2 linked regions of the Schizosaccharomyces pombe genome follow. The protein of the gene in region 1 interacts with the protein of each later gene in a pairwise test. Each region holds a gene or a part of one and is shown on either strand. Other genes may lie near its edges. The genes, in order: php4 and pst1.

What was found.
Region 2: the proteins of php4 (region 1) and pst1 interact in a two-hybrid assay, tested with the Schizosaccharomyces pombe proteins (one large-scale study listed by BioGRID).

The regions. Positions count from the first base shown.
Region 1 is NC_003423.3:1,914,149-1,919,070, reverse strand, and holds php4 (CCAAT-binding factor complex repressor Php4), read left to right. Parts: upstream 1-2,178; 5' UTR 2,179-2,333; coding exon 2,334-3,221; 3' UTR 3,222-3,696; downstream 3,697-4,922. Other genes in the region: SPOM_SPBC16E9.02C (CUE domain protein ), read left to right, coding at 1-910. UniProt on the Schizosaccharomyces pombe protein: Component of the transcription regulatory CCAAT-binding complex. Required for the reprogramming of the cell for iron use. Down-regulates pcl1, sdh4, and isa1 underlow-iron conditions.
Region 2 is NC_003423.3:2,449,268-2,457,622, reverse strand, and holds pst1 (Clr6 I prime and Rpd3L histone deacetylase complex subunit Pst1), read right to left. Parts: upstream 5,596-8,355; 5' UTR 5,572-5,595; coding exon 5,442-5,571; intron 5,307-5,441; exon of another isoform or gene 5,305-5,306; coding exon 866-5,304; 3' UTR 504-865; downstream 1-503. Other genes in the region: gfa1 (glutamine-fructose-6-phosphate transaminase), read left to right, coding at 6,769-6,773, 6,842-6,912, 7,118-8,355.

The sequences.
Region 1 (4,922 bases):
CTCCGTAGAATCAAGTTCTTCAGCCGCCTTTGTGGAGGGACAATCCTTCATTTTGGATAGCAATGGTGCGATTGAAGTCGCTAATTCTGCTTTTGCTCTCGATGATAGTGATCTTGAATCAGCTTACAATGAAGAGTTAGAGATGAAAAAAGACACAAGTAAGCCTACTGCAAGCACTAAGGAAGTTGTAGTGGAAAAAAAACCCGACGAGTCACGAAAGCAAGCCGCTCGCACGCTTGAGACCGTATCAGAAGAACAAATGGGATCATCCAATGCTAAATCCAAGGTACTAACATCTGAGCCAAAGGACTCTACCTCTGTTGAAGCCGAAAAAACCGAAACTGATGAGCCTGCTGTTGGTAAAGGAGCATCCGATGTGTCTGATACAGCTGAAATTTCTGAGAAAACTGAAGCCAAGAATGCTGATTCGGAAGCCAATTTAGAAGAGAAATCTGACGTTGGGGAAGAAAAGGAGAGTAAGGACGAAAATAACAAAGCTAGTCTTCATAAGGATGTTGAGGAGAAAGATACAAAGATAACAAATGAAGACACTGGTAAAACGGAGACCGATGTCAAAGCCAAGGAGACTGATAGTATAGAGGCCAATGACAAGGATGAAAAGACCGATAGCAAAGAAACTGAGGACAAGGTCGAAGAAACTGAAAGTAAAGAGGCCGATGTCAAGGCTAAGGAGACTGATAGTATAGAGGTCGATGACAAGGAGGAAAAGACCGATAGCAAAGAAACTGCGGACAAAGTCGAACAGACTGACAGTAAGGACACTAACGAGAAGCCTGCGAAGGATGATAATAAAGAGGCAAATGAAAAGGCTGAAAAAGTTGACAGCAAAGATGTTAAGGAAAAGATCGAGGAGGCTGCTGATCTACAAAATTCGGGAAAAGAGACTTAAGGGAAAGAACAACAAGGCACATCATGATAGGTTCAAGAGTTGTAATCAGCTAATGGTACTATATATGCCTTGAGTATTCAGGGTACGAGTAGCTTGAAGATTTAAATTTTGCTATTTTCGGTGTTCCTCAGCTTTACAGTAAATGTTTTAGCGCTGTTTCGATTTTTCTTATAAGTAATGTTTTTTCGAGCTCTTTTGTTTCATATTTTTATAATTGAATTATTAATAATCAATTAAATTTTTCACGACAATCGCAATCCCGTTGATGAATTTGCAAAGTAACTTTAATTTAAGATTGTGCTTGAAGTTTTATCGAAACCATTTGGATAAACTGAGTAGCTAAGTATCCATACATTCACTCCATCCTTGCGTGCATAGCAACCTTTATTCTTTTTACCACTACTGTACATGAGACATATGATGCTTACAAAAAAATGATATTCATTGAGAAGGCACGAAACAACGTGAATTATTAAAACAACGTATTTTAACTACAACAATAACTGAATACAACATAAATCAAACTAAAAAATGATATAAAATATAAAAACTGTACGTAGCATTCGGTCATCACGAGCCATGGCACGAAGCAACGACTTCACGATGGTTTTAAGCTATGCTGTCGGTCTCCCCGACATAATCTATACCGATTCCATGAAGAGGAAAAAGCTGCAACCATTAATACGGTTCTATATTATAACCGCGTTAGAAGAGAGCAGACTTTTTGACATCAGTAATTCATTATTTTGTGAGATGAAGCTTTGTTTTAACTCACTCACATTTCTTATATACTAGGAGTCAAAAAACAGTCACATGTGTTAGTGCACTTTCGTTTCATCTCATTATATCAAAAATATAAACAAATGTTAAATAATCTTCAAAGGACGGTATGACATGAGAAAAGCAGTGAGTCAGAACATTAATTTAACTCCAAAAAAGTAACATGGATAAGCATTACTATGATAGTTGGTGTGCCGAATGATTGTAGTATTACATAGCCAGAGCCCAGAGTTTATTAGGTCGATCGGTTTTAATCAGATGATGTCCACCATACCCGCGTTTTTTAATTGGTTCTGTAACTGAAATGATGGGTATTGAGAATGTATGTCAACAGCGCCTCTAAGCCGACCTGTTCACTAATCCGTTTTTTCCCGAAAATTGAGTCTTTAAAGATATAACGAGGTGTTGCATACCGGGTTAACAGTACAATCATCGAACCACACGGCACTTAGATCAGATATAATTTAATCGTATCTCTTTATCAGATTAAAACAAACCACCAACGACAAACGTTTGAAAAAGTGAGATTTTTAAGCTTGGTCAGTAGAGGCATTGGAGTATTGGAAAATAAAGATTTATATATTTTGCTAAAAGTGTAGTTCTGTACTTGATATCTCCTATCCCCCCAACTTTTTTTTTGCTCATGGAATCGTCTAAAAGTCCATCGGAAGTGGAAAAATCATCTTCTGCTTCTCCAGCACCTCAAAAGCCGATGATTCGCGTCTCTAAACAATGGGTTGTTCCTCCTCGTCCCAAACCAGGAAGGAAACCTGCGTTAGATGCTCTGGGAAGAAGAAAGGCACCTATTAAACCAAGACCTGGGCCGACTTCAGCTTTGTCGGTCGAGGAAGCCAAATTCCGTGTTCGTGAAAAACAATATCAGGATACGATCGGAAAGTTACAGAAGGAGAACAACGAGCTGCTTGAGCAGTTGGAGATGCTGCAGGCTCAGTTGAAGAATTCTACTTTGGATAGCCCCAAGGAAGTCGAAGTAAACTCTGAAGTTGTCAAGCCAGATTCTGCGACTACTGAGAATGAAAACCGTTATGTAAATCAGTACAATTATCCGGTCGAGCCGCCCTGTGCTAAGAATGCCGTTTATACAGAGATTCCCATTGAGCTAGATCCTCATGCCTTCTTGGGTGATTCGGCCAAGAGAATTCGTGTGGATAGTGACAGTAAAGATGCAAAGTCCGTTCCATCCGAAAATGGAAGAATTCGTGTATCTATGTCTCCCCAAAACGAAATTAATTTTACACCTGAAAACCCAGCAGTAATGGAGAAGATACGTAAACGTGGTGTTTGCAATAGTGTAGAAGGATGTTTGTACTCTGGAAGCCCTAAATCTGTTAAACGTGTCCGTGAATCCGAGGAAACCAAGGTTTATGCTCAACTACTTATTGACTTACACAAGTCCTCGAAGTCTGCTCCGATGTTAAAGGCAGGTCCTTCAATCGCCTTCAAACTTCCTACCATGGAACCAAATTTTAACGATGTTCGTCCCGTCACTTCCATATCCTCTTCTTCCTAAGTTTCCCAAAAGTTTTTGTCATCTCTCATCTCCTCTTGTTATTGCATCTCAGCAGCGACTTTTCTGTTTGTAAGTGATCTCCATTACCTTTTTCCATGGTACGGAATTTTTATTTTCGGACTTAATTATCTTGCTTCATACTATTTTATTCGTTGTGCATTTTCGTTCTTTTTGGATTTCTTTCTGTTAATACTAACGTTCACTACTGGTATTTGAACCAATACATTCAGAAATATTACAACATTTTATTTTTCGTGTTCTTGGTATTTGTTTTAAGAGTGTGTTTTTTTTTTACTCACTAGACTGGCTGTACGTCGTAAAGTATGTTTCCTTGACATATTCTAGTCTAGATCGCTTTGTTCATTACATTGCTTCCTTTTCTGTTATATATGTTAATTTCACTATATGTTTTGTTTTTATATATTTTCTGATTTGTATAGAAAAGAATAAATCTTTGTTATATTTTTACTCAAAATGTTCATAGCAAACATTTGACTTTACAAACTGCTAAGCAGTGTTTTTAATAAATTTAATGCTAAAGCCTTCACTGTGTTTATTATGGCTTATGTTTGAAGCTTCGTATTTCCAAATTTAAAAAGTGAATAATCTAACAATGTTAATATGCTAGTCAATTTTTTTTAACAGTGTGGTGTACCACTAGAATTTCTTCGTTTTGCAATTGCCCTGGTTGAAAGAAAACTTGCTAGAGCACCGAAGTTCTTGTGTACGGTAATCTTTTGGTGAGACCAATCCACTTTCGCATTCAAGTAGAAAGAGTTGTAGTGTCCTAAGGATCTTATATGTCTTTCTTTCAGCGTCATAATCAACTCATGGTTTTTTCAATTCAATTCAATCATATAAAATAGGTAAATTGCTAAAATTGATTAATTTCATTTTGTAAATTTGAAGAGGATATAAAACAGTGTGCGCTATTTCCCCTAATGATCATTTAATAAGTAGTTACAATTTTATATGAAATCCAAAATTACATATCGTCAATTACGATTAAAAATCGTTCTTTGTGATGTGCTTACAATTGAGCTTTTATTCATAACTTTTTTTCAAAACAAGTATTATGCATGTTAACTGTAATTGCATCAAAAACTATATTGTGCTGCCAATTTTAACCAAAATCCTATATGACTATCCTGGATGCATGATTTTTTTCGTAGAATTCTCTATTGTCAATTAGGGTGCATTCACCCCAATTATAGAACATCAAATTATAATTCAACTTTAAAAACTTTTATTTCATGTATTACTATATACTCTTTGAGATACATAATTGATAGTACTCTAAAATACAATGAATTTATATATGAGTATACCTCCCTGCAAATCTTAAAATCTTCTTGTCTCTGATTATAAAAACGAACGTTTGTTGGTATTATGATGATTTAAAGCATTTAAGTAATTATTTGGGTATTAAGCTATACCGTTGTAACAGCAAGAGCTTAATTGTTTCAACAATCCAACTTACGCGTTAGGCGGAGTCAGTAAGTCACCTAACTATATTTATTTGGGAAATTACTATAATCATTTACTTTGAAGCATTCAACATGCTTGAAAAGTATGAGCAGCAGAGACGTACTTTCTCTTATGGCCATTGCAAGAAGTGTTAGGAAGATAAAGATATATTTTTTTTTCATCAGCATGATTTCCTTTCAAAATGCCCTTACTAGATCTTTTAAACAACATTAA
Region 2 (8,355 bases), 540 kb from region 1:
TGAGCAGAATAAGTGTAAACTGAACTCGGGTTCTTATGGAAAATTCGGTCTGTTGTAAATTCCGTTCCAAGAACTTTATACCATTGAACGTAGAATGACCTATAGTTTAATGATTGAAGAAGAAAAATGTAAAGACGGAATAATAAACGTAGTGTAAACAATAGGTGTGCTGCAATATCTCAAATAGTAATTATATCACCAAAACTCTTGCTTAGCTATTAATTGATATATACTAGTATTCAGAAAAGAAAACCAATTAGCTTTCTAAATCTAAGCGTGTTTTTTATGAGTAAGGGAATTGCATGCTATTCATATACGTTGAAAAGTTGGGTACTTTTGCTAAAAATCAAACGACTTTCGTCCACACCCATAAAGACGGAGCGCGGATTACGCTAGCCGCGACCAAACTTCATATTACCGCTTTGCTTGGTAGAGATCAAGAAAAACTCTCAGCAAAAATTGATTCTTTACTATTAAAATACAATTGAAGCACTATTCACTGTGGTAATTTGAGATTGTTCGAAACAAAAAAAATATTTATTATAATAAATTCCTTGTTACGCCAAAGATTATTTATTGAAACAAAATATATAGGTACAGCAGATTCATAGATTATAAAGAGAATAACAGAAATGATAACAAAACAGAGATAGATGTCCTTTAAATTTGATAATTACGTAGAAAATTAAGTAAAATGGTAATGCCGAAAATGCTTAGAGAAGAAAACAAAAACTTTTGGGGGTATTAGCTGCAATACTAACAATGGCTTGCAAGAACAGATTAGGGAATTGGGGAGTTATGCACAAACTAAGATGGGAGCAAGAAATGATATAAATGATATCGAGGAAAACAGAAATGGATAAATCTACAGATCATCCTTGGAAGGCTCTTCTTCCATCGTGTTGTCGGCGTCCAGCGTCTCTTCAGTTTGATCGTCCATATCAGTTTTATCGTCCTCATTATCAGCATCATTCTCTGCCGTTTGTTTTACACTTGTAAACACTGGTGATGGGGATTTCTTTTCAGAAGATCTCTCGGGGCGATGACTTGAAGTCTCAAAGTCAGGAGCTGTAGACTTCGCTACGTCGTGATCATCTTCAACGTCTGAAGCATGTTTTGCAACGGGAGACATGCTGCCTTCCCGATTTTTCTCCTCATCCTCAATGGATTCTTTTTCTTTTTCTTTTTCGGAAAGATTGATCTTATTTGAGCTGTCATCGTTATTACGCCCATTGCGAGCTTTCAAATTAGTCTTGTTTCCTCTTGTTACAGAAGATTTTCCATTTACTTTCGGTGGCAGCCCTTTGTCTAGTTTCTTTCCGTTCCCAGATTCATTAAGCAAATTTTTCCCCTTTTTACCTATGCTTTCAACACCTGCGTTTTCAGAAAACCGCTCAGCCTTGCCGGAGCGAAGAGTGGATTCATTGAATAAGCTTTCTATGGTACAAGGCTTGATACGTCTTACCTTATCTTTGGAGAGACCTTGTGTCCAGCCTTCATCACTATTAAGCCATTCACGCCATTTTGATTGCCGGTAATCACGAATTTTATCATAAGGACCATTATACACTTGCTCAGAATTTCTAGCAAATACATCTTCGGTCCCATTTTCATATCTGATTTTAACGGTATTAATTGGTATTGTCAAGGCTAGTCCTGATTCCAAGAAACTAGTAATAATAGCATTTGCACTTTTTACCACGGAACTAGACTCGTCATCCTCATTTCCTTCATCTGAGGGCAAGCATTTTCGAAGGAATGGTATTCGAACATGCTCAGGTAATATGCCTTCAGTCGGACTCGACATTATGTAACTTCCAATGTAATAGCACCACTTTTCTGCATCCGACTTGAGAGTTCCCATTGTTAGATCTTCGCGTCCCATTAGCCTTATGGCTGATTGTCGAGTTTGTGAATTCCAATCAATGCAACATAAATTTTCATCTGGTCCAAACGCAGTCTCTGTTTGTATCCGATACATGATTTGTTGACGAGGACTAGTACGTCTTTGTACTCGATCTTTCTCGTAATACATGAAAACTTGAGCCAAGCGACGGTTGGTTGTAACGGAATGTAGTTGTTTAATAATAGAAGTGACCAATTTTTCAACGGTGTATAATCTAAAAGCATGAATACCGTAAAGACAACGTAAAGCATCTTCAAACCCATTTTGATCAATTTCACCTTCCATCAAGCGTTCGCACAACTGAATCGCTTGCTCGTAAACAGTGTCAGCTGTAGGTAAAGCAAAGCCAAGACGTTCAGAAGGATGGCGAACTAATCCGAGCTCAACTGCGACAGGATTGGATTTGACATCATGTTGCTTACTATAAGCCATTTGCTCAAGATTTTTAATCTCTTCTAACCTTGAATATAAAGTGTGGAACAAACGAAAAAAACAATACAGGCTCATGTTTCCAAATAAATTATACACAGAACGATCAGACAATTTTGTTCCATCGTCAAGGAGACTACCATCAGTATCGGTAAATTTACAATTCACCCAAACTTCGCCAGTTGAAAAAACTGATGAAGACTCATCGTCATTTTCCTCATGCTCACTAATATGTTCATCAATTTCACTGGCGTCAGGTGTCCTCTCAGTACTTTCTGATACATAATCTTCCTTAACTGAACTTCTATTTTCACGAGCTCCTCTATAAGTCTTCTTTAATACATCCTTCAAAAGCCTTAGGCCATTGTTGTTAGCATGGTGAATGGGCGAACTGGAAGCTCTCGGTTTTTCTATGAGACTAGATGACAAAGAATCAATATCAGATTCCTCTTCGTTAAAATGAGTGGGAAGATAAGGAATAAACGAGTCATAGGGAACATCGAAAAAAAGTGAAAGAAACGACCGAAGAAAATTAGACATCTTCTCGTTATCCTCAGCAGAGTGAGTTGAACCATGAATCAGAAAAACCCCAAACAAACGAGCAATATCAGTAATAATATTGGGGTCCTTGTAAGAAAATAAAAATTGGTGAGAGGGTGTGACTTTCCCTTCTGATAGTTCAACTTTCTGCTGCTGGGCTAAATTACGAAGCTCAGAAATAAGGAATTTGGGAGTGGTACTTTTCTTGTCAACACTTTTAAATGATACTCCCTGATGGTCCAAACTTCGATAAAAGTTTTTCTCTTCTATATCATGCCAAAGTTCATTCCAATGGTTTTGAAGCGATCTCCATTCTCTATCTTTTTTCTTCAAACGTTCCAAAACAATTGGTATGGTTACCGAAGGGTTTTTCTGCAGATTCTCGATAATTTGCTGTGCATGTTCTTTTCCGTAAACTTTTTTAATGACCTTATGATAAATCGAGACAGACTTGCCTCCTAGATTAGATGGAAGAGTCCAGTTTGCCTTTTCAACTTCACTCATTTTTAACATTTTGTCAGCATGAATTTGTAAAAGTTCTATAAAACGCATGTTAGCACCAATATGACGATCATATTCATATCTTTCCTCCTCTAGTTTATGTAAATTTTCCTCAAATTGATTTTTCCTGTGTGCAATAAATCCAGAATCCTCTGAAGCCAAAGTTGGGAAACTAACCCATGCATCATTCAAAATTGTCCAGCATAAATCATCCCTACCCGAGCAAGGAAGCAAAAGCTCGATTTTTGGCAATAAGCGGTAACTTGGTCCACAGCTTTTGCATTGTGTAAGATCTACTCTAGGTCTAGGTACAGGGATCGGGTTTGCAGGATTATATTTGACCAAGTCCTTTAACCAGTTCATTAAGTGCTCATTACTACCGAAAAAAACATAGCACCTCTCAACGAGTGCGTTTTTATCAAAAACCTCTTGAGAATAAAGTTCCAAGAGTTTAATAAATTCATTGTACTTTGATTCATTGGCAAGATATTGGCGTGCATGCTCCAAAAACTCAAGTTCTGAGGGATTTTTGTTTTGTGCTATAGGTACGTTAAATGCACGTGGTGTAGTCTCCTCAACGGAAGAAGTAGCAGTCCTAGTTCTTTTGGAATGATTTCTAGTCTGCACAGCAGGTTCTCCTCTACGCTTTTCAGGTGCAGGTTGGGCTTTGGCAGTAGTGGGTGGAGCAAATTTACCAATAGGGGGGAGTGCACTCGTAGGAGTGGCTGATGGAGATCGTTTTGGAGTGGCAGTAGCTGATTCTTGAGGCACTACTGTAGACTTGTCCTGAGTTTCGGCGGGAGCATTAACTGATACGTCAGGTAAAAAACGCTTGAACTCCTCTAATAAGTCAGGAGCTTCCGCAAATAACTGAGATACTTGAAAATAGACAAGTTGTATAGGTCGTTGATCGTGTTGGTATGATTTTAGGATGTCTAAAAACGAGTTATAGGCTTCAGGTTTATGGGAAAACCGATTTTTAACATTATTAACAAAATTAATGGCTTGGTCGAGATCGGCAGCCTGTTTCACAGATGCATCAACTGGAGGATATGATGGAGCAGCTGGAGAAGGAGAGGGGTTAAATTGCAATGTAGATGGAGCCGGAGGTTGCAAAACAGGATGAGAGGCTGACGATTGTTTCATATTCATGGAAGTATAAGAGGCAGCCGCAGGAAGAGGTGTAGTTGAACCATGTGGAGGCGGAGGAGCAGTGGTTTTACCTAAATCATTGATCATTAGAGGACCTTGAGGCGTAGTGATATGGATTCCTGCCAAAGATCCAGGATCTGCACTGCTTATTTCAATGCTGTATCCAGGAGGTAAAAATGTATTAAAACCCTGAATCAGATTTGGGTATCCAGCAAATAATTTTGAAACTCTGGTAATGACTTCTGGTGTTTCAATCGCCTGCGATTTGAACTCTTTCATGATATCTAAAAACTCATTATAAATTTCGGGTTCTTGATGAAACTGCAATTTAACAAGATCCAGGTATGATAAAGCATCTGTGACATTCAACTGTCGGTACTCTTGAGGAGGTGGAGGTGGAGCAGAAGGATTTTGATTAGGAACAAAAGGAGAAGCAGAAGATTTTACAGTGCCTGGTCTAGGAATATTAGAATCAGTAGAAGAAAGTATGGTCGGTTGTTGCTCAATGGCGCGAGCGGGACTTGCTGAGATCACAGTAACATTAGGGTGCGACTGGGGTTGTGGTGGGGGAGGAAGCTGCGAAGGCGGCCCACCATAAACAGCAGCATACCCATTTGCAGGATTCGGTATGGCTGTATGAGACACTTGTGTATTTACATTACGGTAAAGTAAACGCCCCGTTGCCGGATCGTATACTGGACTGATAGAGTTGAATAAAGGGAATGGAGGTGGTCCTTGTGGGTTGGTGTGAGGAGGGGCCTGAGTAAATAAAGGTGCTAATCAAATAATTAGTATTTTTATACAAATATATTTTGTAATTAGTAGTTTCAAGTAAAACAAATCCTACTGTTTACAATAAAATCAATATTGTTTTACATGTCAAAACCATAACAAGTTAGAGCAAATTACATACCATTACCGGGATGATAGGCCATCGTCCCAGAAGGAGTCAAGTAAGGTCCTGTATAATTTATTGCGACATTGGAATAATCTTCAAGCCTGTGGCATTGGCCTAAACGTGCATCTTGCCAGTCTTTTGCCATCCCAAAAGTTGTTGGTATAGAGCATGTCGGTCCTGGCCACGTAACATGGTTGACATACTCTAGCGATTTAAGCGGGATACGCGATCCATAAACGAGAGATTTTTCAAACGCGATTGGAAGAAAAGGATTTACCGAGGTAATATTTCGAGTAACATTTTTTCAAGTAACAAAAAAGAAGTAAACAACCCAAAACCGAAACGGCCGTCTTGGATATGAAAGTGAGTGCTAGAGGACTATGACCTGGTATGCGGTTTCTAATATTTTGGCAGCAAGTACTTTTAGCTGAAAATTCAATCCCCGAAATTTTCTGATTGATGTGTAAAGGAGAAACATCAGGCCAAACTGGATCAAGCAATATGAGGATTTTATTAAAAGTTTTCAAGATTAAGCGCTGAATCAGCAGATTGATAGTTTATTACAAACATGGTAGAAGAATTAGATAAAAAAATTTTATTATTACTTTTTTTTCTTCTGAAATCGACTAATTTATAATGCTTGAATGAGAAAGTCATTAAATTGATGAAATTGTTCTAACGTTTTCCAATAGTATAGTGAAGGCGTACATTGTCATTGAAATGTCCTGGTCAACCCTGATATTTAATAGAAAAATATTATTTATTTTTCAGTCTGCTGTTTTGTGTATGAAAAATTAGTTCATTATTTAAGGAGAAAACACACAAAATAGTCTGGATAATCTTAAGGAAAATACAATAAAAAAACAATAAAGTAGTAAGGTTTAATAATATCCCAAATTCTTTTATGATTAAGAAACAACCGAAAATTTTTTTAATCAATTGTTTTGAATACTTAGGGTGAACCAAAAGACCCTTCATCAATTTACACCACCTCAATTTAACATGTTCATCGTAACTTTCTTGTCTTGGCCATTAAATTACATTCAATAGAATTTTTGCAACCGTTATGCAAGAATGTTTACATCTCCATTTTTAAGTGTTATTTATACTTTATCAATTGCAAAGTTCTGCAGAAAGCTGCCTTTAGAAATTTATGAGTCTAAACCTTTGATTAAATTAGACTCTCGTTTATATTGCTTCTCACCATCAAAGTCCTCTATACAGTGATGACAAAGCGGCTGACGGATTGTATATATTTATGCACAGATCCTTAAGCCCCACCACCTTCACTGAACGACCACCAACTCTTCCTTAGTATTGGAAAAGTCGATTTTACTTATCAATGTGGTAAGCTATTTGTTTGTTTTATATCTATTTAAATATTTGATCGTCCTTTTATGCTAATACGAAGCTAGTGGTATCTTTGGATATATTAATTATTTGGTTGAACGAGACCGTGGATATATCCTCAAAACACTCGTTAAAGGTAAATTAAAATCGTTTATATTGTTTTTAATATGTCAATTTCTGAAATGCTTAAGTTGTGGATTGCTTTCGATCACAGTGATTACGCTTTGTTTGTGATGTGTTCTCTCTCATGACATTTAATCTATCTGCTACTTCAATTTTCTGTTTACTTATTAAACAAAAGTATAAACAAATTAAAACTCATTTTACTAATTCAGGTTTAGGTCTCAAACGTCTGGAATATCGGGGTTATGATTCTTCAGGATGTGCTGTCGATGGAGATGAAGGTGAAGACTTCATCATGTTCAAAGAAGTTGGCAATGTTAGTAAATTAGAGGCATCTATAAAAGGATCGAACGTGAATAAATCCACTAAATTTATCAACCATTGCGCCATTAGTCACACCCGTTGGGCAACTCATGGCATCCCTTCTCCCATTAATTGTCATCCCCAGCGGTCTGACCCTCATAGTGAATTCATAGTCGTTCATAACGGTATTTTAACCAACTATCGTGAGCTACGCACCGTTCTTGAATCGAGAGGCATGGTTTTTGAAAGCGAAACCGATACTGAATGTGTGGCTAAGCTCGCTAAATTTATTTACGACACTACTCCAGGAGTTGACTTCACATCACTCGCTAAACTCGTCTTTCGTGAACTTGAAGGTGCCTACGCTTTACTCATTAAAAGCAGTCACTACCCTGGTGAAGTGGTCGCAACTCGTCGTGGTTCTCCATTAATAGTTGGTGTCAAAAGTGAGCAAAAGCTCAAAGTTGACTTTGTCGATGTAGAATTTCCCGAGCCTGCAGAAGGTCTACCTGGAACTCCTAAACCCACCAGCTTGCATCCAGTTTTTTCCAACCCAGCTACCAATGGTATGCTTCGTGGTGACAAACCCGACTTGTTACATCGCGCTCAAAGTCGTGCTTTTGTATCGGGTGAAGGAGTTCCGGGTCCCATAGAGTATTTTTTCGCATCTGATGCTACTCCCATCATTGAGTACACTAAGCGTGTGATGTTTCTAGAAGATGATGATATAGCACACGTTCGCGATGGTGAATTACATGTTCATAGGTTGCGTCGTGAAGGCGGTGGTAGTACGACTCGTACCATTGAAACTTTGGAGATGGAGATTGCCAGTGTTATGAAAGGAAACTATGACCATTACATGATTAAAGAAATTTGTGAACAGCCAGATAGCCTGTTAAATACCATGCGGGGACGTGTTAATTTTGTAAACAGGCTTGTTACATTGGGTGGTTTGGAAAGTTATTATGACATTATTCGCAAAAGTCGTCGCCTAATTTTCGTGGCTTGTGGAACCTCCTACCATTCATGTGTAGCCGTTCGTCCTTTGTTCGAAGAACTCACTAATATCCCTGTAGTGGTGGAGTTAGCGTCTGATTTTGTGGACCGTTGTCCATCAGTTTTCCGTGATGACACTTTCATTTTTGTCTCCCAG